Daphnia pulex: one gene and its partners. The protein of the gene in region 7 interacts with the protein of the main gene of each other region in a pairwise test. Links are inferred from orthologs where the notes say so. Each region holds a gene or a part of one and is shown on either strand. Other genes may lie near its edges. The genes, in order: histone acetyltransferase Tip60-like; bystin-like; leukocyte receptor cluster member 1-like; exosome complex component RRP46-like; puff-specific protein Bx42-like; methyltransferase-like protein 17, mitochondrial; tuftelin-interacting protein 11-like.

What was found.
Region 1: the proteins of tuftelin-interacting protein 11-like (region 7) and histone acetyltransferase Tip60-like interact in binary tests that used the Homo sapiens proteins (3 or more experiments, as listed by UniProt). The link is inferred for Daphnia pulex from reciprocal best matches to the Homo sapiens genes TFIP11 and KAT5.
Region 2: the proteins of tuftelin-interacting protein 11-like (region 7) and bystin-like interact in binary tests that used the Homo sapiens proteins (3 or more experiments, as listed by UniProt). The link is inferred for Daphnia pulex from reciprocal best matches to the Homo sapiens genes TFIP11 and BYSL.
Region 3: the proteins of tuftelin-interacting protein 11-like (region 7) and leukocyte receptor cluster member 1-like interact in binary tests that used the Homo sapiens proteins (3 or more experiments, as listed by UniProt). The link is inferred for Daphnia pulex from reciprocal best matches to the Homo sapiens genes TFIP11 and LENG1.
Region 4: the proteins of tuftelin-interacting protein 11-like (region 7) and exosome complex component RRP46-like interact in binary tests that used the Homo sapiens proteins (3 or more experiments, as listed by UniProt). The link is inferred for Daphnia pulex from reciprocal best matches to the Homo sapiens genes TFIP11 and EXOSC5.
Region 5: the proteins of tuftelin-interacting protein 11-like (region 7) and puff-specific protein Bx42-like interact in binary tests that used the Homo sapiens proteins (3 or more experiments, as listed by UniProt). The link is inferred for Daphnia pulex from reciprocal best matches to the Homo sapiens genes TFIP11 and SNW1.
Region 6: the proteins of tuftelin-interacting protein 11-like (region 7) and methyltransferase-like protein 17, mitochondrial interact in binary tests that used the Homo sapiens proteins (3 or more experiments, as listed by UniProt). The link is inferred for Daphnia pulex from reciprocal best matches to the Homo sapiens genes TFIP11 and METTL17.

Annotation. Positions count from the first base shown.
Region 1 is NC_060018.1:12,586,060-12,590,207, reverse strand, and holds histone acetyltransferase Tip60-like, read right to left. Parts: upstream 2,801-4,148; 5' UTR 2,750-2,800; coding exon 2,678-2,749; intron 2,616-2,677; coding exon 2,558-2,615; intron 2,484-2,557; coding exon 2,415-2,483; exon of another isoform or gene 2,351-2,414; coding exon 2,042-2,350; exon of another isoform or gene 1,975-2,041; coding exon 1,900-1,974; exon of another isoform or gene 1,828-1,899; coding exon 1,631-1,827; exon of another isoform or gene 1,569-1,630; coding exon 1,485-1,568; exon of another isoform or gene 1,423-1,484; coding exon 1,098-1,422; exon of another isoform or gene 1,034-1,097; coding exon 871-1,033; exon of another isoform or gene 804-870; coding exon 587-803; 3' UTR 500-586; downstream 1-499. Other genes in the region: serine/threonine-protein phosphatase 2A regulatory subunit B'' subunit gamma-like, read left to right, coding at 1-115, 180-307, 374-491; threonine aspartase 1-like, read left to right, coding at 2,934-3,035, 3,095-3,378, 3,444-3,627, 3,690-3,788, 3,849-4,148. UniProt on the Homo sapiens protein: Catalytic subunit of the NuA4 histone acetyltransferase complex, a multiprotein complex involved in transcriptional activation of select genes principally by acetylation of nucleosomal histones H2A and H4.
Region 2 is NC_060024.1:1,297,751-1,301,731, reverse strand, and holds bystin-like, read right to left. Parts: upstream 2,484-3,981; 5' UTR 2,342-2,483; intron 2,285-2,341; 5' UTR 2,282-2,284; coding exon 2,171-2,281; intron 2,090-2,170; coding exon 1,961-2,089; intron 1,906-1,960; coding exon 1,813-1,905; intron 1,741-1,812; coding exon 1,599-1,740; intron 1,542-1,598; coding exon 1,392-1,541; intron 1,323-1,391; coding exon 1,096-1,322; intron 1,032-1,095; coding exon 823-1,031; intron 748-822; coding exon 543-747; 3' UTR 501-542; downstream 1-500. UniProt on the Homo sapiens protein: Required for processing of 20S pre-rRNA precursor and biogenesis of 40S ribosomal subunits. May be required for trophinin-dependent regulation of cell adhesion during implantation of human embryos.
Region 3 is NC_060021.1:6,396,198-6,399,337, forward strand, and holds leukocyte receptor cluster member 1-like, read right to left. Parts: upstream 1,896-3,140; 5' UTR 1,848-1,895; coding exon 1,825-1,847; intron 1,757-1,824; coding exon 1,657-1,756; intron 1,596-1,656; coding exon 549-1,595; 3' UTR 501-548; downstream 1-500. Other genes in the region: death-associated protein 1-like, read left to right, coding at 38-206; uncharacterized protein LOC124193654, read right to left, coding at 2,721-3,140.
Region 4 is NC_060020.1:3,912,812-3,915,704, forward strand, and holds exosome complex component RRP46-like, read left to right. Parts: upstream 1-1,255; 5' UTR 1,256-1,404; coding exon 1,405-1,492; intron 1,493-1,581; coding exon 1,582-1,695; intron 1,696-1,756; coding exon 1,757-1,878; intron 1,879-1,944; coding exon 1,945-2,085; intron 2,086-2,167; coding exon 2,168-2,359; 3' UTR 2,360-2,393; downstream 2,394-2,893. Other genes in the region: serine/threonine-protein kinase D1-like, read right to left, coding at 214-345. UniProt on the Homo sapiens protein: Non-catalytic component of the RNA exosome complex which has 3'->5' exoribonuclease activity and participates in a multitude of cellular RNA processing and degradation events.
Region 5 is NC_060018.1:215,997-220,178, reverse strand, and holds puff-specific protein Bx42-like, read right to left. Parts: upstream 2,801-4,182; 5' UTR 2,327-2,800; coding exon 2,310-2,326; intron 2,238-2,309; coding exon 1,617-2,237; intron 1,555-1,616; coding exon 1,356-1,554; intron 1,290-1,355; coding exon 973-1,289; intron 905-972; coding exon 626-904; intron 554-625; coding exon 352-553; 3' UTR 217-351; downstream 1-216. Other genes in the region: uncharacterized protein LOC124188708, read left to right, coding at 1-64. UniProt on the Homo sapiens protein: Involved in pre-mRNA splicing as component of the spliceosome. As a component of the minor spliceosome, involved in the splicing of U12-type introns in pre-mRNAs.
Region 6 is NC_060025.1:4,359,753-4,363,689, reverse strand, and holds methyltransferase-like protein 17, mitochondrial, read right to left. Parts: upstream 2,600-3,937; 5' UTR 2,484-2,599; coding exon 2,102-2,483; intron 2,038-2,101; coding exon 1,776-2,037; intron 1,696-1,775; coding exon 1,482-1,695; intron 1,427-1,481; coding exon 1,283-1,426; intron 1,220-1,282; coding exon 1,136-1,219; intron 1,077-1,135; coding exon 947-1,076; intron 887-946; coding exon 748-886; intron 678-747; coding exon 563-677; 3' UTR 508-562; downstream 1-507. Other genes in the region: H/ACA ribonucleoprotein complex subunit 1-like, read left to right, coding at 1-148, 211-507. UniProt on the Homo sapiens protein: Mitochondrial ribosome (mitoribosome) assembly factor. Binds at the interface of the head and body domains of the mitochondrial small ribosomal subunit (mt-SSU), occluding the mRNA channel and preventing compaction of the head domain towards the body.
Region 7 is NC_060026.1:12,432,152-12,436,431, reverse strand, and holds the start of tuftelin-interacting protein 11-like, read right to left. Parts: upstream 2,801-4,280; 5' UTR 2,764-2,800; coding exon 2,453-2,763; intron 2,393-2,452; coding exon 2,200-2,392; intron 2,127-2,199; coding exon 2,033-2,126; intron 1,962-2,032; coding exon 1,860-1,961; intron 1,803-1,859; coding exon 1,688-1,802; intron 1,613-1,687; coding exon 1,417-1,612; intron 1,354-1,416; coding exon 944-1,353; intron 881-943; coding exon 591-880; intron 523-590; coding exon 435-522; intron 346-434; coding exon 215-345; intron 149-214; coding exon 82-148; intron 18-81; coding exon 1-17. Other genes in the region: uncharacterized protein LOC124205947, read right to left, coding at 3,219-3,697, 3,775-4,026, 4,210-4,280. UniProt on the Homo sapiens protein: Involved in pre-mRNA splicing, specifically in spliceosome disassembly during late-stage splicing events. Intron turnover seems to proceed through reactions in two lariat-intron associated complexes termed Intron Large (IL) and Intron Small (IS).

The DNA of each region.
Region 1 (4,148 bases), on a different chromosome or scaffold from region 7:
CGTATTGGCCATGGACAATAAAAAGGAACCACAAGCACTTCAGTATTTTTTCCGTTTGTTGGACGTCAATCATCGAAACCATCTCAACACTTTTGACCTCCATTTTTACTTCAAAGTATTAATTTCCTCATTTGACCTTTTGACTTTCTTATCTTGAAAAAAAAAAAAATGCTTTGCAGGGGGTTCAAGAGTTGATGCAGCAGCACAAACAAGAAGTCGTTGCTTTTGACGACGTCAATGATGAGATTTTCGATATGGTGCGTCCTGCCGATCCGTCAAAAATCACTTTACATGATTTGATTAACTGGTAACACACAAAGTTCATTTAGAATTTTTTTAGAATAAGATTGTCATTGAACGTTTTCTGGCTCAGTGGATACGGTGAAACTGTGATCAATATCTTGATTGATTTGGATGGATTTTGGACATACGAGAACCGTGAAGCTGTTGTCGTAACAGACAAGAATAACCAAGAGAAACAGGACATTTGAATTTGGAATTCTTGTACATAGAAATTGTGAGTGTATTTTTTAAAAAAAAGCAAAGAAGTAGCAAGATCGCGGAATGGATTGTAGGTGCGATCTCATCACCATTTCCCTCTTTTGGACCAGTCTTTCGGTGTCCAGTGCAAGCATTTGGGATCGATGTGTAATTTCCATTTCTCTTTGTTTTTTATGCAATTTTTCATCGCTTCTTCGTTCAGAATGAGTACGTACTGCCCCTTGTAGTAATTGATGAGGTTCAAATGCTGTAAGGTGGACACCACGTCCTCTTTTTTAATGCTCGTCATTTCGCAAATTTCGCTATTTAAATTAAAACGAATTCGTTTGTCAACGTGAGCTCTAGAATGAAGTAATTTACATCACTTACTTGATGGTAATTTGAGGACGTTCACCTTCACTGGATGGTTTCATATTCATCAGAATATCACAGATTGTAAAAGCCCAGTAACTGCGATAAGACAGCAACCCTAAATCGGACAGAGGTTTTTCTGGCGAGCCCGTTTTGCCTTCGAACTTGGACAGCTCGTAACCTTTACGTAAACAAAAATGGTTTTAAAAAAATATTTCCCCTTGGGTTTACGATTCTGTACGCACTGAATTCAATAAGAAGTTTTCCATATCCTTTCCGTTGATAGGGTGGTAATGTTAAGATGCAGGCGACATTGTAGTCCTCCGAGCTTTCTTTCTCTTTGCTAAAGTAGCCGACGATATGAAAACCTCGTGCATCCACTTCAGTCATGACGTAAAAGAGGAACGGATCAGTGTCGTAATACAGTGTCTTGTGATCAAGGAACAGTTTCGCTAGCAGGCATAGGTTCTGAGCGTATGCTTTATTTTTACGGCCGTCGATTTCAAAAAAAGAAATTGTCTGTTTGCGGTAAACTTCATTGCCTGGCGGATGTCTAAGATTGCACTTCATCTGTAGAAAAAGTTTAAGGGTTGATCATCCAATTAAAAATATATCGTAAAATTTTAAATTACCAGATGACGTTCTAGACATTTTTCACTTTTCCGGTACTTGAGACAAAACTCGCATATGTAAATACAAGCTTGGTGAACCATTTCCTAATTTTTGAAAAAGAATAGTAAACATTTCGGATCTTTACGTTCGTTAGATGATGACATACCTGAGGGTAGGGTGCGAAATACCAAGGTTTTATTCTGTGTCTGCCGAGTTCAATCATTTGAATATTTTTCATTCGTGTTACAACGTCATCGTGATGTGTAACAAGACTGCCCGACTGACGTGGCCCTGGTGTAGTCGGTGCAGGGGTGGACGGTGGGGCCGGAGAGTTAGCATCTCCTACCTCACAAACTGAATCACCTATGCAGAAAATTTTAGTTTTAATAATCATTTATATATAATAAATAGATTGTAGAAAAAATGACTAATTACTTGTAGGAACAGCACAACTATCGCTAACTACGGTGGGTGGCAGAGTGGGGATTGCTGGTAATTCTTTTTCAATTTCTATAAAAATAAAATTTAAAAGAATTTATGAAAAATGTAAAGAATTAATGAAATAAAATAACTTTACTTATAAGTTTCTTGGCAGGTGGGATTGGAATAATGGATCCTGGACTGGGCTCTTCTTTTTCTCCAATTTTACGTTTTCTTCCATTTCTCTTTTGTATTGCTGCAGCCAGTAGAGCAGACCCATTGACAGTAAGGTCTGATGCACTGGATGCAGCTAGTGGGGAAGAAGGACGGGAAGAACCAGTTGTTCCTCCAACTTTTTTAGGAGTACTCATGCCTGTGCCTACTTGAGTTCCATCTTTTCTAGGAAACTGAATTTTTCTCGTATCTAAGAAATCTTCTGAGACCCAATCATCAAGTCGTTTGTTGACTAGAGTTGAATTAAAAATTTTGTAAGATGATGTATCGTTAAACATAGCATATACAAAACTTACAGTCGATGTAATGGACATAAAACATCCTGATGTTGCAGATATCTTTGACACTGAGTACTTCGGCTAGAGCTAAATGATAACAAAAGAAAAACCACAATTAAACTTTCAAATCTATAAAATGATAACAAAGCAACAAATGTTACGCCAGTCTTCGGTGTTTCTCATCCGTACAGGCAACCGACAGCCTTCAACAACAGATGCCTAGATAATAGAATAAACAAAATTAAACATGGTTTCTAATGAAATAATGTAAAAATTCATACAGTTGAATCTGAAAACAGATCTTTATCTACAATCTCTTCTTTCATTTTTGACAATGACTGTTCGGTCTTCATTAGAGAAAAAGCTTTCAAAACAACAGTGCGCGGCCATGAGCGACATTGCCGCTTTTGCCGGTTGGAAATGGTAGTCTTCTGCTAGCTCTCTCACAAACTGGACCGATCAGTCCCATTTCAAATTGTAAAATGAAATTTCGGTTATGAAAATTCTCGACAAAATTTAAACCATAAAAGTGCAAAAATGTCACAGTATGGATTTGTTGCTATTCATCTTGGAGCAGGCTGCCATAGTTCAAAATCTGAAGCTATTTACAAAAAACTTTGCAAAATAACGTGTGAAAAGGCATGGCTTTCTATTAGTGATTCATGGTTTCATAGTTTGACTTGATAAGTTTTTCCCAGGGAGCAGCTTTATTGCAAGAAGGAAAATCTGCACTAGATGTTACGTGTGAATTGGTTTGCATATTAGAAGATTCACCACTAACTAATGCAGGATATGGCTCCAATCTCACTGAGAGCGGTGAAGTTGAATGTGATGCAGGAATCATGTTGTCTTTGAAACATCAAAGAAACACACGATTTGGAGCAGTCTCATCACTTAAAAGTATTAAAAATCCTATAATGGTAGCCAAAGAAATCATTTTATACCAGAATGAACCAAGACTTCTTGGTAGAACACCTCCACTGTAATTCAAAATACCATTTGCATCACTTAAAATGAGTGGTTAAATTAACACAGCCTTTTTTTTAGTGTTCTAGTAGGAGAAGGAGCGTCTGATTTTGCTAAAAACCGAGGTTTGAATCTTGTTCACAATAGCACTCTTATATCTGACAAAGCCATGAGAAAGTATAAGAAATATAAAGAACGGCTGGAAGTATCCAGAAAAGCTTTATCAAGTGGGCTAAAGATCACAGTGCAGCCAAACCCAAGTCAAGTAATATATTTGGTTTCCTAAAGTAATGTTATCCAAATATCATGGTTATTTTTTAAATCTAGGATACAGTAGGAGTAATTTGCATAGATACGAATGGTGACATTGCAAGTGCATCGAGTTCGGGAGGAATTGCTATGAAGCTTCCCGGCCGAGTTGGACAGGTTTTCCTTTATTCCTTCTTGTCATTTTAGTAGTCATTTACAATGTGTATATTGCGATAGGTGCCAGTTTACGGCTGTGGTTGTTGGGCGCAGCATTCCAGCTCCGGTGGTGTTGCTGTGTCAACTTCTGGTTGTGGCGAGCAACTCATCCAAACAACCTTGGCCAAGAAGCTTGGTCAAACCATATTAGAGCGAGGAGATCCGGCTTTCCACTTGAAAGAGCTCATGTGTGACGAGTTCATCCATTCAGAAATGCTGTCTGATGACGTCTATGACCGGATGGGTGGTGTTCTAGTGGCGTATTATAGCGAAGATTCGATAGATTTCAACATGGCCTTCACAACTGATTCGATGGTCGTC
Region 2 (3,981 bases), on a different chromosome or scaffold from region 7:
ACATAATTTGCCTTTCCCCCCCCCCCTCCCCCCTATGAATGTTGGTATCAGATCAAACTTATATCTTGTTAACCAATCACTAGTTAATAATGGTTTCACTCAAGGCGTGTATAATCAGTCGCAGTTTCTACCTTTTGTGTTTTCACCGTCATGCTTAAGCGTTTCGTTCTTTAACCTCGTAAAATCGTAACAAGTCCGAATGTATTTTTGGCTGACAGTTTTTGAAGGGATAGGGAAAAGAGATGTGTGTAATATCTCTTTCAATGTTTTCCGAAGTGCCTTGGAAATAAAGAACGTATATTAACCTATATTGAAATTGAATTGGCTTATGTTGCTTTTAGTATCGCAAATCGATATTCAGCGATGATATTTCGTTCAACTGATGATATAACATCTAAAAATACGAATGTTCCAAAAATCCGTTTCATAACCACAGGTAAGATCTCATTCCATCTTGACTTCTCATAATCAAACACTGTTTGCTAGGAATAGAAAACAAATGAATTCAGACGCCGAGTTTATTATTCACAGTATCTTTCATTTTAATCTATCATTTCTTCATCTCTGCAAGAGGAGTGTAACAATTCACGACGGATTTCTGGTGTTAATGTATGATGTTTGTGAACGGAAATCACTTGAAGCAACGCTTCTTTTTGTTCACTACTAAGATCAGCCTTGTATCGTTGACTGAAGGTTAGAAGTGATTGATGCCACAAAACAGGCATTTCCCTTGTATCCAGCTGAAATCTACATGCAAACAAAGGAAAGATTAATTAACAAGAGTTACAATCCAGTATTTCATAAAAAGTGTAAATATATTACTTTACGAAATGATGAACAGCTGCGTCAACCACACGATACGGCAAAGCGTATTTTTTGTCGAAGAATATTCTCAAAAATATCGAGTTCGATCCACTATAATTCATTTCAGCAAGTTTCAAGATCGCTGCAGCAGAGTGTAGAACGGGAATGGAACAGCGAGCAATGACGGAACCAATAATTATGGCTTCTCTTAAAGTGCAAGTCCCACTCTGCAATTAAATATGAAAATGTATATGAAACAATTTGAAAATATGAAAAACAATCTAACACAACCTCGCAGATCGGAAGAAGAAATCCCTTAAAAAACGCGCCAGGTTTAAAGAGGGCTTTACGTAAGGCTTGATAAAGATGAAAATTAAGTTTTTTGAACTCGGCAATATCATCACGAACACGTGGCAGAAGAACCAAGTTAAAAAACCGCTGGGCCATTTTTTCTGTCAAGTTGGATGTGAATATTCGTGTAGCAGCATACATGGCGGCGGCACTCCATTTCTCCGGATCTAAAAGCAGAACATACAAATCAGTTTTTAAGTTTAATTGCAATTATACCAAACAGAAAATCTTATTACCAGTAATATACAAAATTTGCTCCCAATTTTGCAATGAAGGAATCAGTTTGAAAGCTTTGGGTAATTTTCCACTTCGATAGCGATGTAAAACTGATGCCACACCCAGGTACAACGATTTAACTCGAGGATCCACATCTTGAAACTTGACGCCTTAAATGTTATCAAGTTATTTCTAGTCCATTTAAATCAAATAAATTTGCAACTTACTTTCAATTTCAGAAAATTGACTCTGGATCTCTGTCTGTTTTTCTGTTATTTTTTCTAAAATTATGTCTGCCAGAGTTCTCCTTGGTGCTGGGTTGGGATTCATAAACAATGCCAGGGCTTTTTCATCCTCTTCATCAACTTGCTATAGAGAATACAGTCAACCATCAGTATCTTAACCATCATCTTGATATGATTAATAAGCAGTTAACCTTACCACATCTTCCTCAAATTGTGAATCCTTTTCAAAGTCTGATTCTTCACTGTTTCCATCTCCATCTAAATCTGCTCCTAAGGAAGTGGCTCTTGCCTAGTAAACATAAAATTAACCAAGTTAATAAAACTTTGAGCAACGTAGAGCTTACTTTAAACGAAGAGCCAGTTCCTTCAATTTCTTCTTCAAGTTCTTGTTGTTGTTGATGGGCTTGTTTCAAAATCCTTGCTGAGAGTTTATCATCAACAAACTCATCATCTGCATCAGTTCTCCCTCTGACCTATTGAAACAACCAAAATAGATACACCTATTAATTCACAGAAGTCTCTTGAAGCAATAAAAATATTTCAATTAAACTTACCTTGACTCGCCCTTTACTTGAGGCAATTTCTTCTTTTGAAATCTGTTTGTCAAGACCTTCAGTTCTTCCAGTTCCTGTCTTTGAAACTTTCAGTCTCTTTGCTTTACCCATTTTCTATTGATAACACACGTAAAGACTTGGATTGCAATGAAATTACTAGTTACTACTTACTAGTATCTATGAGCGGTAACCTCACAAATGTTTAGACAACACGTGGGGATGTAAATTGTGTGTACAGTAACCTAGAATGTAGGCGGCCCGAATTTTTTGAAGATGTGACATCGCCCCCTGTGTCGTGTCGCAAGCAGCACCCCTATGAGGAATTCTCTGTAGCTATTTAAATTCAGAGAAAAAATTAAAAGATAGAATAGACCATCTCCCAGTTCCAGCCAATCTTTATATTTTTTAATTATTAAATATATTATTTTAGCTTAAGGATTCTTCTGAATCGGAAGGGTTTTACTTTTTTTCGTTACTCCTGAGTTTACCTTGCGCAAAAAACGGAGAAAAAGTATTGAATTAGTTACGGAGAAAAAGTATAACTTATTTAGGAATCAACGCGACGTACACGCCGTTTATAACAGAATCTCAAAATTCAAAATAATTTTTACTCCTACGGTCCTACCTCTCTTTTATAAGCCACGTATACTATGTAATATTCTATGTAGCTTATGTGTAACAACCATATTGCTACTATAGCTTTATGTTAGCAGTGTTGATATAGAAATTAACACGTGAACCTGTTTGCTGCAAAGAACGCTTTGTATTGCTACTCGCCTAGCCACAATCGTCAACAGCACTGAGTCCCCCTCTCTTATTCCTTTGTCTGGGTAGGTCCTTCTCCCCCTCTCTTCTTTCCTGGCTATCCTGCGTTGCCGCACTGTCCAGTTTGTTTATCTTTTATACTCAACACCTCCCCTCAAACTGGACCCCCAAAAATAAACATGAGCACAGAATACACAGCATATTTGAATCAGACATAAATACTAGGTTCAGTGTCACAAGACAAATAATAAGAAAAGAAATATCAGCCTCCTTTAACTCTTCAGTTACACCTCCCCTACACCCCGAACGCCAATCTTGTCACGGAGATACTTGAAGCGTGGAGCAGCCAGGGGTTTCGTGAGTGCATCGGCCAGTTGCTCCTGGGAGCTTACATAGTTTATCATCTCTTCTGTCATGTCGATCGTAACGCTTCCTTTTTCTGTCCGCTTCTTCTCCTTCTCTCTCACGCCGGCGTTTGTATTGACGGCATTGAGCTCTAACATGCGTAGTGGAGTTGCACTCCCAGCATGTTCTCGGTATACCAGCATGTTGACTGGAAGGGTGGCTTTTTCCTTTGTTCTGACCGTACTGGGCAGGAAGTGCTTGCTCTTTGTGCTGTGATTCATCTCTGTTCGGCTTACTGAGATAGGCAGTATCAGATGTCGATTTTGCTTCTTCGTCGTTGCGCAGGCTCTTGTCCAATGCTATAAGGCGAGTAGTCAGTTTCTTGAGAGTTTTCTCTGCAACAGGCGTGCTGTCCCATGCAAAGGCAAAAACACGGAACTCTGGAGGAAGCGACATGAGTATCTTTGCCATTATTTGATTATCATCAATAGCTATGTTGAGGCTCTTCAGACGGAATGCTATCTGTTCCAACTCAGTCAGGAAGCTTGATACACTTTGGCTTGGTCGAAATGTGCATCCATAGAACTTTGTCCACAATAGAGGTGCATTGTCTGCGGCATCTTCTTCATACTCAGTCTCCAATTTCATCCACATCTCTTGGGCTGTGCTACAAGACATCAGGATCCTTGATTGGTCTTCTT
Region 3 (3,140 bases), on a different chromosome or scaffold from region 7:
TTTTTACATGATTACTAAATTTTTAATTATTTTTCAGGCCCAAGACTGTGGTGATTTCTGGAGCCCAGGTCAAAGAAAAGGAGGTTTTCTCTCCCGAGGCAGCTAGAGCCATTCATGAGAAACCAGTTCCCACTCACAACCATGATGCTGGTGCTGGTCAGCATGGCAACAAAATTAATTTCATTCAACAACCTCGTAAACAGTAGATGGTAGTTTCAATTGTGATGGACTTGATTGTGATTATTTCTAATTGCTAATGATCATTCATTCCACTATTGCTGTGGACAATCTAATATTGTTTATTCAGACAGGTTGTGTTTATTATTTACCTTATCACTGGTAATTTTTTTTTCTTATGGTTTTCTTTTGGTTGTTCTGTTTTTGAGGGTTTATATGAAGGACTTTTTTCTTACTTGCTCATCATGGTTGAGGGAGAAAATGGTTAATTTTTGTACTCTTTTTTTTCACTCTTGTTAATTAAAAGAGAAATACATTTACAATCATGAAAAAAGTCTTGTATATTTCAATAATTTTATGGGACAAAATTATTACTGCAGCCAATACTTGGTTGCAGAATCAAGTGGTTGATTTTGTTTAGCAACATCAGGATTATATTGAGAATGATACTTTTGTTTCGGCTTAGCCTTAACTTTCCTTTCATCAGAATCGCTGTCGTCAGTGCTTGATCGGCTCAATTGCTTTTCCTTTGATGTTGCAGCAATGGTGCCGTTGACGGTGGCTAAAAGTTTGTTGGCTTTGGCACGTTCAGCCTTTTCACGCTGAAGTCTCTTGGCACGTAAAATTGCCAATCGCTTTTCCTTTTCCGCATCAGAGTCTTCGGATAAATTTGAGGATTCTGAAGTAGAATCCTCTGAACTTGAATTACTTGTTTTTCTTCTTTTTTTCTTGCTTGCTTGAGAATCGTCAGTTGAACGACGTTTATCCTTTTTGTGTTTCTTAGATTTCTTCTCTTCTTTTTCTGATTTCCTCTTCTTTTTCTTGTGCCGTTTTTCTCTTGAAGATGAAATTGCTTCTGGTTTAGCAGCGGGAAATCGGAGGTCAGGAAGCTCAGACTTTTTTTTTGTTTGATCTTTCTTAGGAATTTCCGGTTTTCCTATATAATGCCGGATCACTCGAAGGGGATCAAACATGTCTTTAGCTCTTTCTGCTTTATAGTTGATGTCCTCTTGGGTCTGATTTTTCAGGGTCTTTAACAGAGAAGGTTTCTCATACCAAGCAGATTCACCAGTCGACTCCCTTGATCCTTGTCCCAAGTAGGTGAGTAAACCAATCTGTTTTTCATAGTCTTCTTGTTCCTTCTTCTTTTCAAGTTCATGTTCTTTATTCGCTACTCCTTCAACCTGTTTGCCCTCTTCCAAGTTGGCAAAGAAGTTTACATGACCAGATGGGGTGAATTGGACAAGATTCTTCTCTTCAGTTATAGGAACAGACACACATGCTCCATTCCTGATCACAATCTCGTAGCGAGTCTCAGTGGTACATGGGACTTCCTTTTTCGTTGACTCTTCTACTGAGGTGAGACCTTGTCTTTCTCTTGCCCGAGTCCTCAGAATGGTGGTTCTAGTTTCTTGCTCCTAAAACATTAATTTATCATGAGTTTCTCTTGATTCATTGACATCTTTAAAAATTAATTACAGCAAGTAAAGCACGTCTTTGTTTTTCCTTTTCTTCTTCGGCGGCTTTGGCTTCATCGCGTCGAACTCTAGCTATATTGTCTTTGGTTCTCACATGCCATCTAATACGCAGGAAATCCTTATTAGTTAAATGACATAAGTGAGAATAAATTAAGACAAACGGGAATACCTTTTCTTGGGTAAAATGTTCATCCCGAAGAACGATTACAAACCCAACTTTATCCCCAACTTGACAGAAAATAAAAATAACAACAACCACCTAGCGGAAGGTTTGACAGTTAAAAAATGTTGGCTCAAATTCAAAAAAGAAAAGCCCCACTTGCTAAACGATTTCATCGTGATTTCGATCGAGTTTCTTACTTTCTTTGCAAAATTGAATTCTGAGTTCTGACCCGTCTGACCATACGACATTTTCATGGAACGCCGTTTGTGCCACTTTTTTTTTAAATGCAACGTTGTTTTTTTATAACATAAAAACCAATTTAAAAAAAAAAAAAGATATATTGAAACCAATTTTTTTATATTGTTAAGAGCTTGGATGGAACAGAACTACAGAAGGGACTAGTCGGGAGTCTTTGAAAACGCTCTGTCTATTTTTCCACCCACACACTTCAAGCGTAGCCGTTGACGTTGACGATCGTTTGCATGTTTCACGGTACAATCTTTCTGATAATTTATTTTTCTACAAATATATGAAAAGAGGGTGGGACCGGCCCATACTTTATTCACACCTCTATTTTTCCCTTGGGCCAGTTGCTCAATGTATTGGCCTATTGGATCTGCAAATTTGTAAGCATTAAAAAAAAAAACATTTGATTTAAATGCAAATTAGATTCTGATAGAACCATGTTAAAATCTTTGCATAAAATTCACTTGTTATATTATTAAATAACAATTAAATGCAATTCTACTTTTTATTTTGTTATGATTTATTAAGACTTTAAGGAGGAACTCTAGAATTTAGGCACACGACGGACGACGAAAAGAGCGTTAGTTTTATTATAAAAGGCAATGAAGACATTCAAGCGATACTGTCCACCGGATGCTGCTTACAAGTTAAAAGTCTTATTGATGACTCCAGCCATAGAAGAAGGTCCTGCAGTGACAAAAGAATTGCCAAAAGCATTCCCACGAGCGAAGGTCACCACTACCAGTGGGCAGAAGGATCACTTCCATCACTTCACCGAAAACCTGCCGTGGTAGGATACCCGGCGGTAGGTCATGGAGGGAACGGTCGGCAGCATGTTCGTACATGGGTCGAAACGGTGTGTTCTCAGTAATGCCGTTGATGAACGTTCTTGCTGCTGCGCAGGCGTGTTGATCGACCCGCTCACGTAGCGATAGAGTAGTCTGGCCGACGTAGTTGATATTACAGGGTCCAAGTCGGCGATCGCATTTCCGACAGCGAATCCCGTAGATGACGTTGGTGGCACCCCCGAGGTTCACCTGCGGAGACAAGACGAGTTGCGACCCTTGGAATCTGGC
Region 4 (2,893 bases), on a different chromosome or scaffold from region 7:
GGAAAATATGGAGAAAAATTCCGAATACAACAGCTTAGCAACTTAAAAGGCAAAAATATACACGGCAAACACACTTAAGCAACGACAGTGATGACGTAATATAATCAAAACAAAAAAGCTCTCTGGTTACTACAATAAAGGCGTTGTCAGGTGTATAGTGATGCATGGACGTGGAGGTAATTGGATCGGCGTGTAATGTTCAAAAACACTTACCCGTTGATTAATAAAGTTGCAGGCCAAATCTTTGAGCGTTTTCAGCGTTAACTGGGAGGCATCCGTGGAGATAAAGTCTCGTACCAGTCCAACTTGGAACATAAAGGTCACCTGACCATTACCATCATCCATGATGGAGCTTGGATCCAAAATTTTATGAAAAACACAATCACAATTATGGCGAAGTTTGACTTTTGGATGGCAGTGAAATTCGCACACACACAAAACTGGCCCTTTTTCGTTGGAATAGTCTGTGTGGTTGGTGTGTGTGTGTGCAATCAGGTGGGAGCAATGGAGTAAAAAAAAAAAAAAAACGGGTTCCAGCAACCAACAGGTTGATTGGAATGTCACATAGCCTCGGGCTGAGATCACCTTTTCTTTCGTCGTTCTCCCGCCCTGGCACCACTTAGATTTTTCCTTTTCTTTCTTCTTCAAAGAAAAAAGGTTGGGTTTTTACCTCCACTTGATTGCACGACAAAACTGAGCAACACGACTGTTTTAAAACCAACACAGATGGGAGCAGCACAACGCGTGATAACACGTTGGTGATGAAAAAAGTCGGTGCGAATAAGAGGGACTGGCTAATGGAAATGCCCAAACTAAATTCAATTAATACGCAGGTTTCCCAATCATGATGGCACACACAAAAAATTCACGTATAAACATCACACACACACACACACACACTAGCACACTTTACGTTCTCTCGAGAAATGCAGAAACAGACTCACGTACGTGTGTGTGTGTGTTTCTGACCGTGCAGCTCAAGTCACGATAACTTGGTAGTCTGCCGAGCTAATAAATACTGTCGCTACTCGGAGATCCGTCTTTGGCTTGCTCACAATTTTCTGGCCAAAAACAGCGTTGCCATTCTCTCGTGACTGAACGAACGAAATCCATGAAAAATACATATTCATAGCTACATTGGAAAATTGTGAATTTTTCAGGTCTTCTTTATTACAAATATAATAGTTGTTTTAAATTCATGGAGTTAAAAGTTATATTTTGTGTGATTAAGTAAATGGTTGCCATGGTAACTTAGAGACATCTGCAGACTGCTGTTGCCGACCCGTCAACCCCATGTATTTTTTACGATCACGTTGCTTATGCAGAAACAGGGCTGCGTTCTTAATCTGAATTATTGAATACTTTTTCAATCACAAAGAATTGCTTGCAATATTATTATTCGCCATGGAGACTGAAGAGAATAGCATTCGTGCTTTAAAGTGCGAACAAAGCGTACTGTCACGTGCAGATGGCTCGGTGATGTTTTCTCAAGGTAAGTTTAGATTTGTAACTTTTTCCACGCTGTTTTCGTGTTATTTTGTCCAAGTCGGTAAATTTTATTTTATTGACTTGTCATTTCAGGGAATACTGTGGTAATGGCTTCAGTTTATGGACCTTTGGAGGCTAAAATTCAAAAGGAACTGTCCGATAGAATGTACATTGAACTAAACTACAAGCCAAAAACAGGAATGCCAGGTTATTAATAACTTATCCTGTGTATTATTATTTCTGTAATATTGAATGCATTTTTATTTAGGTGTTGCTGAGCGTGGAAAGGAGAAACTCATCAAGACCACTTGTAATCACATTATTTTGACGAACCTGCACCCTCGAACAGCTGTCTGCATAACAGTTCAAGAAATGCAAGATGGTGGAACTGTAAGCACTTACCACAACAAATTTATTTTGATCAAGAATTAGTTGTTCACATTTTCCATAAACTAGTTGCTAGCAGCCTCCATCAATGCTGTGTGCCTTGCACTTCTTGACTCGGGTTTACCCCTGCAGTGTCTTGTAGCTGCAGTGACTTGTTTGGTAGACAAGAAGGATAGAATTGTCCTAGACCCATGCATCAGCACAGTCAAAGTATGATTTCCACTAAGAATTAACTAATTTTTTTCCCCCATTTTTTGTTGTTGTGCCTAACTTACTTTTTTCCCCATTACAGGAAGGTTATAAAGCAATGTTTACCTTTGCTTTTGACAGTCAAAAATACAACTTAATTCTGAGCCACTGTGAAGGCCAAGTTCCCTATCAACTTTTTCAAAAAGCCATGGAGCTGTGTCAGAAAGCCAGTCACGTCATCTTTGATTTCTACCGGCAAGCAGTACTACGAAAGTTTTCCAACGAACTTCTGTAAAACTTTCAAAAAATACACATTTTAAAGTTTTGTATATGCGACTGAAAACAAAGTATAATTGTATAAGTATAGGCTTGCTTATTTCCAGTATCGTTAAATTTCTTCGGAAAACCAATCCATCCTAATATGTCATGCGCATCTAGCAATACTCGAGTAATCACGTTCACCAAAACTATATCTAGAAGGTTTCCTGCCCGGAGCTTGGCTCCAATGCAATGCGGTACAATTTTGACACAAGTTATTTAGGTATAGTAAAAGTGCCGATTGTGAAATCAGAAAAAAAATAAACTTAACTTTGAAACAAACTCTTCTTAGAATGACATATGGTAGGTAGTTCTACCATTTTTAGGATTTATTCGGTCGGAAAATGTAGCATAAAGGAATTTCTTTTATGGTTATTCTGAAAATTTATTTCAAGGTGGTCTGGATATATCGAGTGCGATTTCAGCCTTTACGGTAATAGGCCTTGAAATGTTTTTCTCAATTAGAAAGTTTAGCCAATTAGGCTGTCAAGTCAAAGTCAACACAAATAAA
Region 5 (4,182 bases), on a different chromosome or scaffold from region 7:
GCTACACAGGCTTCTGGAGGCTAGGTGTTTTTATCGTGGACTTTCCACTGGACTCTTTTCATGATGATTATTACTTACACTTGTCTGGTGATATTCAAGTCTTCTGCTGCATTTTCGATTTACCATTATGTACATTCTTGCAAAATGTTTCGTCACTTTACAGTATTGAATCAAGTGTTTTGTCTCGTAATCAATGAATAAATAAAACTAGTCACAGACATTTCATTTGAAATGTATTCTGGTCTTGGAGAAAAGGAATCATTGTTTTTGTGGTTTTTTTAAAAAGATTTTTTTTTGTGTGAGGTAAAATGAAACAAATTGCGAAATCGTCAACGGAAAGAAAAACAATATTTAGTCTCGACGCCGTCTCTTATCCTTGTCCTTGTCTGAGCGTTCCGCGTCAGTGGGTCGTTTGCTACTGGCCTTGCGGACGTCCGTCAAAAACTTGTCGAGGCCGAAAGGATCCTCTTCCTTCTCAAACTGAACTGGACCACTGCGGGAGCCGGAAGGACCAGAACGATCAGTTCCGCTAAATTCCTTATCAGGTACAAACCTGTAAACAAATGAAAAACAAAATGAGTTTCAACTTCATAAACCAATGCACCTTGAAAGTAGGTCAACTTACTTGCTGGTCTTGACAAGTTTATCCAAATCGTCGCCGTACAAATCTTGATCGAGGTTCTTGGTCGGACGATAGAGATTACTGGACAGAGTTCCTTGTTCACGCCAAGGTTTGTCGTAGACATTGTAGGCCTCATCATCGGCGAATCCACTGTCCATTCCACGAGTTTGGTTCAGTAAACGCTGATCGTACATGGTCTCGCCACTTGCAGAAGCTCGAGCAGGCATCCCCAATGCAATCTGCTCACTAATGTCACGCTCGCGTTGGCGATCGAGTTTGGATCTACGCGTCAATGGAAATTGTTAATTAATTGACTGGAAAAAGTTGAAAGGAAATCAAATGTTTAATACTTTTTATCGCCGGGAGCCGCGCGTGCAATGTTGCGCTCACGTTGACGCTCACGATGCCGTTCTTGTCTCAAGTTGTCACGCTCCGCTGCATCATCGTCGTCTTCACGAGCAGCAGCAGCGCCTGCACCGGGTCGCAGACCTGCTCTCTCTTCGCGGACTTGCTGCGCCAGCTGTCGCAGAGTATCTTCCTTCTTTTCCTTTTCTTTTTGCGCTTGTTTCTTTTGAAGTTGGGCGCGAAGTTCAACCGACTCTCTGGCCTTTCGATCGGCTATGTACAATGATTCGGCCAATTTCGCGAATTTCTCGTTAATGTGAACCTGCGAGAAACAACAACATTTAGTTGATTGGGGAAAGACACGTTTTTAGGTCGTTAGGGACGGCACCTGTTGAAGTCCTCGACCATCGGCTGCCAAACGTTTGTCAAGAGGAATGGTGTAACCTTTAGCGTTCTTCCAATTTGAAATGCAAGGCGGAATTTTCCATTCCTGTTGTTCCTTGACAGTTACTTTACGTGTAGGAGAATGCAACACGGGGGCAGGAGGAGAAGGTGGACCACGGGGGATTTTTTGGTTGATTTTGAACCTAGTGAAAAATAATCAGTCAATATGGGAATGAAATGAAATGGCACTTTTTCTAAAATTTACCTTGGGGGTTCCATGGGATCTTTTTGTACTTCAACCATGCGGATAATGCGTTGTTTGGCGCCAGAATTGAATTCATCACCCTGCTGTGCTGGTGTGTAGCGAATGAATTGAGCAGGGCCAGTTCTCTCTGCGGCACGGACTGGAAGAGCTGCTTCTACTTTGGCATTGGTGATTCTTTCCAGGGCTTGTCTCGTTTTCTCTGTTATATCTGCAATTTCATCGTCTGTGGGCTTGTGCAAAGAGGGATCATCCTCATTGGTAATTTCAGCAGGCAGGAGATCAGTGAATTTGGAGTAGACGTGTTTGTCCTTCCCATGGCCTTGCCTGGCAATAGCATCATATTTGATCTTTCCCTCTGCATCAAGTTGGATGGCCAAGGCATTTGACTTTTGTCCAGCCTGGTCTTTGCGACCCATGTCCATTGGATATTGGGCCATGTGAATTTCGGGAAAAGCACCTCCATCTCCGAAATCGGAAACATTTCGAGGCATCCATGAATCGCGATTTCCGTATGGTGGGATTGCCTTTGTGGCGGCCACGATGGCCGTTTGGCGATTAGCACGTTCCTTTTGCTCCTCGACATCTCGATCCCACGTCAACTGCGTTGGCGCTGGGAGATAACTGTATAAAATAACATGACCATAATTAATACATAGTTTAAATACAAGGAAATCAAAAAAATAATTATTATACCTTGATAACGACGCCATGTTTTCAGTCGAGTCTTTCAACCAAGATGTTGCCAAATACAAAAATTGTAACTCGAGAATAATTTATGATGCAACGTTGTCAGATTGTTTCTTCGCAACAGAGCGAGATAAAATGCGGGATATTTTCGGCTTTTCGCAACATCGACATTTTATTCGATACAAATTAAAAAAAAAAGAATATTATTAAATTATCCAGAGTTTACATAAAATTGTGTCTCCATCAATGGGATGGGGCGCTCAAGACGTGATGGGAATTATATAAAAAAAGGAAAAACGTCGTATCGATCCTGAAAACTTTTTACAAGATTGTGGCGCCGTGTGTGTGTGTATGCTCTGCGTTGGATGTATCCAATAAGGTTTAATGATGGGCGGAATAAATAGACGCACTTGAGATGAGAGTGTTAGCGCGCCTTTTCTTATTACAGTCTCTCTCTCATATTCCTTCCGACGTTTTTCTTCTCCGTTCCATAAAAAAATAAGAGCGCAGTCAACAACCTTTTTCCTTCTCCTCGCAGCCGTTCTTGGCATTTTTTACGGTAATGAGATGAAAGTCGAGAGTGGGTGGAAAAGAATAAGAAAGTCAAGTAATCCATACCCGCCCCGAGTTGAAATACGAACGCTTGTCAACTCTAATGGAACTTCGCGTCTCTTGCAATCTGCTTGTAATAACATCTAATGGCAAGGCAAAATATAACGAGTTGCCGCCCACTGTGTTTTTCGTTTGATGCAACGCAATTAACGCCGACGTGTAAAAGTGAGCGCTGATGAAATCGACCCTCTCTGTGTTACAAGTTGGACGCCGAGCGGAACTGAGCGCATCGCCATATGAAAAAAGTAAACACCTTAAAAACTTTCACTTTGGCCAATATATCCCACGACGACGACACAGTCGTAAAAATAAATGCTGTTCTCGTTGGGAGGGTTGCACCATCTGATTTATCAACGGATAGCTGGCTTAACAGTCTGAAATCCGGTGGCCATAAATGCCAACGTAAGAGTTTGATATACTATAGTGAATAGATTCTCATTTTGAAGCGATGCGAATCAGCGAGGCAGTTCAGAGTCTCGTCCCATAACAAATGATAAATGTGGATGTGCGGTGACCGTGAGCTCGCCTCATCTCCGTCTCTCTTCCGCCTTCCGTTTCGACTTTCAATGTGTGGGCCAATAAATCTCTTTTGCGGCGTAGGGCTTTATAATGCATCCACAATGCATACAGTACATCCGATAATAGAGAGACAGTTGTAGGACAAGATTTGGGAACTTTTCGACGACGACGGCTGCTCTCTTTGCAACAGGAAATCAATACGAGATGTGCTGATGCCGGTCTCCAATAAATAAAGGAACGGCAGCAGCAGCACGTCTCATTATCAAAGTCTTCTTCTTCCTCTGTATATATATCATCTATTTGATCCAAGACTATATATGTGTGTGTATAGCAGTTTCGCCTTTTCCCTTGTGCGATAATACAGTTGGCTGGGTGGTGGGGGTTGGTTGAGGCTCTTTGGACGGATCGATCGATATAGGCCGCCTTGTCTCGCTCAGACTATACTATGTAGGCCTTGGCACAAGGGGAACTTGATTTGGCACCGGGGTGCTTGTGGCGCAGCAGCTGATGGTGAAGTTTACTGACAGATAAGCCCATGGCAGCAGTCATGTTTATTATTCAAGTTATTTGCCCATGGAGAGAGAGATAGTTGAGGTCCCGAGGCACGTTAATTACGCAACAGCACCGAGCATCTCATTAAGACGAACAATAATAAATGCATGCAGGATGTATACAGTTCATTCAAGTAGATATGCGTGTGTTTCTTATGAAAATGTATCAGGAAGCCGCGACATTTCCCCATGGCAAT
Region 6 (3,937 bases), on a different chromosome or scaffold from region 7:
TATTCCATACTTCAATGCTCCAATTTATTTGGAAAACAAGCAGCAGATTGGCAAAGTTGATGAAATTTTTGGTTCCATTAAAGAGTATTCAGTTTCAGTGAAACTTAGTGAAGATGTTAAAGCTAAATCATTTACACCCAATCAAAAGGTAAGAATATGATACTGTTACTCTAGACTTGTTTTTATATTTATCTAAATTTTTTTGTTTAGATTTACATTGATCCTGCAAAGCTACTGCCATTGGGCCGATTTTTACCTCAACCAGGAGGAGCTGGTCGCGTAGCCAAACGCGGGGGAGGTCGAGGTGGTGCCGGTGGTAGAGGAGGTTTTGGCAGAGGAGGAGGTGGTGGATTTGGTCGTGGAGGTGGAGATCGCGGAGGAAGAGGAGGATTTGGTGGCAGGGGCGGAGGTGACCGTGGAAGAGGAGGATTTGGAGGACGAGGAGGTGGGGGAGGATTTGGAGGACGAGGTGGAAGTGGCGGATTTGGATATAAATTTCAGAAGTAGCAATCAATCTTTTCTTTGTTTCATGACTCACCAAGTCACCAATAAACCATTAATTTTAAAGGTTTTTTTCGTCTTCCAATGTACACTCTAATTCTGTTGTATCAGGACGAGACAGTTGAACAGGTAACAAATCACCCCATTTTGTTCGACGAGCCATTAGATTTTCTAACCTAAAAATAGAAATTTACGATTTTACTTACTGAAATTGAATTCAGTAGTGAGGTTTTTAAAGTTAGTTACTTGCTGTTTTTTGCTCGAGTAATAACGATTTCTTCAAGCTTTCCCTCTTGAGTGCATAGTCTGCATATTACATGACCAGATCGAACGAGAACAGGCCGGACTACTCTAGGCCATTGCAAGTCTTCATCAGGCCGCTGGCCTAAGAATGACGTAATTGTTAATTGAATGAATACGCCAGGGATGTTACACTACAGATTACCTTTCTTCAAGACTAAATAAGAATACCTCTCTTTTTGTATTCTTTGGTTTATTTGAAGGGGCTCATATTTAACTTCAAAGTTGCAAGGAGTTGTTTCAGCTAGCCGTGGACATCGTGTTTTGTTGGGGCACTATTGAACGATGGAAGATTTAAATAAACACAAATAGTTACAGTAACGTTACAATTTACCGGTGCAAAAACATAGCCTTGAAGATTTGATTCCTTATTTCCTTCTGATAAACTAAGTAAAAAATCGCGAACTTCCATTATCACCTATAATCAATTGTATTATTTTAATTTACACTTAAAATTACGAATAAATGAGCATTATCTTACCTCAAAAGCCGCTCGACTTCCATGCTCTACAAATACCAAATAACCTTGTGATTTACGCCATAACGACAATGCTATCTGTAAACGTAACTCTGCTGAAGGGAGTTCCAAAAGCGAATGGGCACAAACAACAAGATCATATTTCACCTAAAATTGAACAGAGATTAATTTTACAAAATCATCCCATGAAAGGAATACTTACAGCAGAGGATGCAGGCATGAACTGTCGGAAATAAAGGCCTTTAATGGTAGATGAAAATTCTTTCTCATCCAAATCTATTGGGTTAAAATCTGATGCTTTATTAGGCCAAACCCCTCCTTGAATGAGGGCAAGGGCTAGGTTATTCATGTCAACAGAAGAATCAACACAGAAGACTTCTTTAAATTTCTTATCACCCCAACATGACTTGGCTGACCTAAAATATAAAATAAAATAAAATAATAGTGCAACACACAGTGACGGGGACCATCAATGAACTAATAGCTTTATATCTACCATAGTGCTGAGCCAATTCCAGACCCAAAATCAAACAGAGTTTGTGGTTGGAAATTTTGGTCTCGGCTGCATATTTCCTGAAATATTTGGTATAATGTTGCATATTCTGGGGCTATTCGTGCCACCAGATAAGTCAAAGCAACTGCTTCGTTGTAAATCACTGGTTTCCATCTGTAGGTATTTTGGCTTACAACCTTTTGTATTTTACTTTTTAAAGTATTTTGTATTTTCTTTTCGTCTTCAGCACTTAAAAACGAGTTATCTAAATTTCAACATGGAATGGTGTTTACAATTCAATCAAATCAAGGGAAGTTTAGTGAATTTACCTGGGGATGGGTGAGCTGCAGACAACTTTTCAGTGAATCTAACTTTTATTTCTTGAAGTTTAGTCTCAGTTAATGGGGGTTTCTTGAAGATTAAATGATTTTTCAAAATTTCGGCATTCTGAGATAAGTTTGTATCTGTGCAACTACTAAGAATTTTATCAACTGCTTTTTTCAACTGTTCGGGCAATTTCACAGTACTATGACTGAAAACTCCAAGATGCTTTCCTTTCGGATTAAGTTCTGACGTTTGACTGTCTGAATCTTTGCCATTAGACACGTCAAATTTGGCGATAGGACGTGAAGACGTACTAAATGAACTGTTGAAATTCTTACTTGATACATATATACGACTTTGCATGTGTAAATATCTTGGAGAAAACATTTTGATTTTTAAAGAAAATACAGACAGACGACACACGTGTTATTTGGGGTGTTACTAAACAGCATGGACTACTTTAATTAAGGACGGGACTCTTCTGCCATAGATAAAGAAGACTGGTTTCGCATGTCCTATCCTTTTAGCCCTATCCCTACTTGTCCCTACTGACCCCGAGTTTCTGTTTTGCTTGTCCTGCCCCTAGCGGATAAACTGCTGTACTGCACCGTGGCTAGCAAGGGTGTTGCAGACGAAAGTTGTTTTCCTTCTGTCTTGGTAAAATTCTTTGCTGGCGTTTAAAAGTTCTAGGTAATTTTTTCATCCAAATTTTTACTTAAAAGTCATTTTGTATTAAATTTTGACGTTTGCCAATTGCAAAAGCAGAGAAATCAATTGAATGATTGCAATGGAATAGATGTAAGCAGAGTGTAGAGAATAAAACGTACACTAGAGGGCAGGACAAGCAAAACAAAATCGGGAAAATCGGAGGAAGGGTAGCAAGAATTCTGGCGACAGTTGGCCATGTTAATTTTCTTATGGACAGCATCAACCAGTGGTCTTTGTCTATGCTTCTGCATTTCCTACGGAGCAGGACGCAAGTCCCAGTCCCAGTGGCGTTAGGTTAAATGCGTCACTGGTTCCAAATTGTCATAAATAGACATAGGTCCCATTGTCGAATTATTCCAACGACATGCGTACCGAAAGTAAATGTACCCGATTGCTTTAAATTCCGGTAATTGTGGTTATAAGATCCAATGCTCTTATGTCCCGACGACTTAATTTCCAAACGACTTATGTCCCGACGACTTAATTTCCAAACGACGCAAGTACCAAATGTTAAAAATCGAATATCTGGCATCGTATGTAGTGACTTTTTTAAATACGTAGCCATCTAGCGTTCAGTTTTACATACATGATTTTGTAGTTAGCAGCATGGTTTTTTCGTTTTTATTTTACAAGGGAGCTTAGGATTAGGAGTTTAGTACTGTATGTCATGACAAAATTGTTTTTACGGTCTATCCGAATTTTTTTCACAATAAATGGATCCAGCTGCCGGATTCCTTACGCGATGGGCATTACGTATATGCGCGCGTGCTTGCGCGTTCCGGAAATCATAAGATAAAACGAATTGCGCTAAATGGAACCTAGCGCATCAAGCACAATTTAATTGTTTGTTTTAGGCGGTTTTAGGTGGCTCGCTTGTCGCGTTGAACAAAAAATCTAATAGGCTAATTATAAAAATCGATAAAAATCTAGCGCTATCCAAGCACGTATGGCACCGGTGATTGATTGATTTGTTGACTTACGCTCCAAAGTTCCAGGTGCTCTTTCAATAGCATGCAACCCCCAACCAGTGGATTAAGCTCCTGTGCCAGGCGTATTTTTGCCTGTCCTATTGGGCCAGTCAATGATTCCTCCAGCTTGACGAAATAAATATGACTCTTAATCTCTCTTTTGTC
Region 7 (4,280 bases):
TTGGGAAGAAATTGGACCTGCAATAATAAAACAGAAGATTGTACTTTTTAGTTTAAACCCATGATACAAGATTATACTTACACAAGTAATTGTATAAGGCTTTGGGAAGGCATAAGATCTTTCCAGTTCATTATCCAGTGCCAAACATCTATTTATGTATTCAATGTAAAAGTTAATAAACGTATTTAAGTTCTGTAGTATTGTAGTAACGAACCTAATTCTTGTCGACTGGGGTTTATGTCCCAATTTGCAATAGCAACTTGCAGTTTTGGTAAAATATTTTTGATGAGGAAAGCATCCATGGAACCCTTGGAGAAAACGGGAACCCAAGGCATCAAAACGGAACTAAAAAATCCATACGGAAGTACACAATATATTAAGTTACACGTTAAAGATAGTCAGCCTTTTAAAAACTAATAAAAAAAAAAAAATACCGTGCAGACTGATCTGACGGTGACCAAGCCACCAACGCTTGTGCCATTTTATGCCGAATGTTGGGATATACGATTTCCAGTTTTGATCCTGAAAATTTGAAATTATTTAAATTTACTACATGATGCAACTATCTAACACGAGTATAAATGCACTACCTAGTCGGGGAAGCCAGGGATGGATCCAGGCATGAATGGGAATGAGATCAGTCAACGGATTCCAACTGTCTACTTCTTTTTGTATTCTGGGAAGAATGAGTTGATCCAAAATATTTTCCATGATCCAGTTTGGCAAAATTTGCTCCCACGACTCGATCAAGTCAACCATTGGATCCGCATTTTTGCAAGTCCACTGTCCAACGAGTCCTCGAAATGCTGGCATCCAGGCATGCCATAACAACCCGTGATAAGGATCCATTCGACTATCATTTTTAACAATTCCGCCCCGACTGTGAATTTTGAAAAATGTTTTACAAAGCAACTCACTCCCACCTCCCACCGAATATTCTTACCTGTTGGTCTGAGTCTTGTTGCAAAATTCCAAGATAGGTCTCCATCGTTGAAAAATTAAACGACAAGCTTCATCTGTTGATTTAGAATCCATGGGACGCCAATAGGTTGATAATCGCAACTTCATTAGGGGAATGAGGTAAGTCAGAGTAACGTTGGCTAGATCCGACGATACGTATTCTTCCGGGTAGCTTTGTTCCAAATTCCTTATCTGCTCCCAAAGGAAGTCTAGAGATAGCTCGTTTGTCGCCTGTTTCAGTTCAAGCTGTTCCAGGACTCCAAGCATCGATGTAAGCATTTCCATTCGTGTGATCTCCTTAGAAACCTCAACGCTCATATTTTTCACTTGCGATTCCATGGCCAATATTTGCTCTTGATTGTAGGAGAGTTCTTTGGCATTTTGAATAATTTCCTATTATTAACGATAAACAGAATTGATTATGAAATCCAAATAATTGTGACAATAATATCTTACGTGTTCACAATGGTCTACTAGAGTGTCCAAGTTGTAGCAGAGTTTTTCAAGTTGAAATTTATCAACTTTGAGTCCAGCTGGTGCAGGTTCGGAATCGCTTGGCTCTTCCGTCCTTTTGGTTCTCAGAGCGCTGTATCCTTGAAGAACACGTTGTTCTCGGCCTGTCATATCAATCACTTTGGCTTTGGAAATTTCACTATATATACAACAGTGTTTTAGATTTCATGCAGAAAAAATGAAAGGTCTTGATTTAAAATCTCAATACTATTACCTGTATTCTCGAGCCATTCTATGAACACCACCTTTAGACATTTCTTCAATCACTTCTTCGGAAGTACGATACATATATTGGATCTTTTTTTTCTTCGACGATGGTTCGACTAAATCTAATATTCATTTTTTAAAAGATTACTCACTATTTTAGTATATTAACTTTTCTTTACCTTTTCTCCAGTGGGCCAAGTTTTTCTTGAACTCTTTCTCTTCTTCATCATCTGATGCTTGTTTCTTTGCAGGTTCATTTTTGTGTTCAGCTCCATACATACCTATGACATGAAGAAATTGCAACAATAGAGATCAATAAGTTAAGTGAAAATCAAAAGCAATGTTTCATTACCAACTGCTCCTCTTCCTTTGCGAACCTGAGCTTCCACAGGTTGGCTTCTTCCTTGCAACTCTTTACCAAGTCCTTTTCCAGGTTGGTAACCCATCTAAACAAAGAAAAATTATTAAAATAGTAAATTAATCTGTTGGGATGCATTCAACAAAATAAAACTGACACACCTGAAATAGAAGCTTAGCACCAATTCCTTTAGTATGTTTTTCCCATTCACCAAGATCGCCAGCACCTGAGCTCTTAGCATCTTTGCTGAACCTATCAAACATTTTTCTGGGCTGTTTCTTGTCCTGCAATGTTTTCTTTCCAGCTGTAAGATTGATTTCACTGGCACTATTGTGGGAATCATCTTCTTCGTCACTATAAAATCAGAAAAGCACTGTGTAATTGTCTTTGAAAGATAACTATGTAATGGCATACCTTTCTGAATACGAAAAGAGCTTGGTTTTTTTCTCAGGTAATTTCTCCTTTTTTGATCCCTGCTGAACACCACCTTTGACAAAATCAACTGGTGTGGTGTAATCCTTGGCTGTTGACGATTTGGAAAAACCTGGACGGCCAGAAGATGACGTTGACCGCTGAGTGAAATTTTCCCCTTCATCTTCATCAAATACTCCATATATCTGTTGGTTTTTCGTCATCTTTTTAAAACGACGTTGACCAGGTTGGAAAGCATCATACAAATCTCTTTCTGACACATCGAAACTCTCCATCTCTTCTTCATTAGCCATTTTCAAAAATTTAGTAAAATGATGATGAAAATTAACCAAATAAGTTGATGATATATGTCTTTCTTTTGTATCAGTTAGAAACACATCAAATAATGATTTAGTTTGAAGAACACAAACTAACAACACACAACACAGTTAAAACTGAAAGTACAAAGTTGCTTAGTATTTTTATATTTCTTCTGCTACCTTGGAGAATGCTAAACAGTAACCAGGTACGTAGTGCGAGCGCGTATAACAGGTCCCAGCGGTTTGAACATGTGATACCAGTTCGAACTTCCTTCCCTTTTACTTATTAAAAAAAAATCTTATTTCAATCCTACTCCAGCAAATTACCATTCCTTTATTAATTAATATCAAATTATTTTCTACCACTCGTAATATATTTTTCAATAATCGGGTCAAAATTCAGTCCATGGTCGATTTTCGCATTTTGGATGTTCCTTCAGCTGAAATTTTCAAAGAGACGAGGCAATATCTTCCTCCAACATGAAACCGGTGAAATGAGTGTAGTGGTCACCGTTGTCAGCCAAATACACCCCTGGTAAGATTTGTTGAATCTGAACCCAAACTTGATCACCTGATTTCAATTTCAGCGTCGACTGGAGGGACAACTGATCATTTTGAAAAGCGACGGTGTTTCCCTCTTCGAGATAAGCAATCCCGACTCCATTCCCGTTCAGATAAAGAATGATTTGCAAGCGAACTAGAGACGTTGTAGCCGGAAGTTCAACCGATCCAGTAAAAGCGAAAGAATAAACTCCTGATCGTGGGGCCGTGAATTTTCCTGTTGTTAAGTTAAAGGCATTTCCCACGTTTATCCGCGCCACATCAAAAGGAATTGGAACCAACTCCGTGTTGAATGAAGAACTTCTCTGAACGTAGAAATGGGCGGGCGCTGATTTGACATCAGCGTATCCAATCCATTTCTCGAAACCTTTTTTAGAAATAATTTGTTGTTATTAAATAATAATTCAGAGTGCATAATAAAGAGAAAAAAAAATAAACATTTACCGTCATCGCCAGGAACTTTGGTGAAATCGCAGTAAACGGATTCCATCGTCGTAGATCCCATAATGGAATAAAATCCATTGAGGGTGTGGCCAATTAACCAAAGATCCTTACATGACGTGGGCATTCTAGTCAGGGCGACTGATCCGGTACACACCAATCGACCAAGCGTGTGGATGCCCGACGAAGTTTCCAGTTGAGTTCGGCCAAAATTCAAGCGGGTGACGGGCAGGACATTTTTGTCCGTAATGACACCTAAAAACATTTGAAGCCAAAAAAAAAATAAAGAGAATATTTACTGAGTCATTTTTGTCACACGGAAAGACGAGGAGATCACGAATATTAACTTCAACATATTTGTTTATAATTTTTCATGAAAGAAAATTAATGTTCTGTTATAAATCTTGTATAATTCCGAGAATCGTTTTCAACTCTTACCGTTATCGACTAATTGAACTGGAGCCACTGAGTCACAGTTGCACTTTGCAATAGAATCAACACAATTTCCG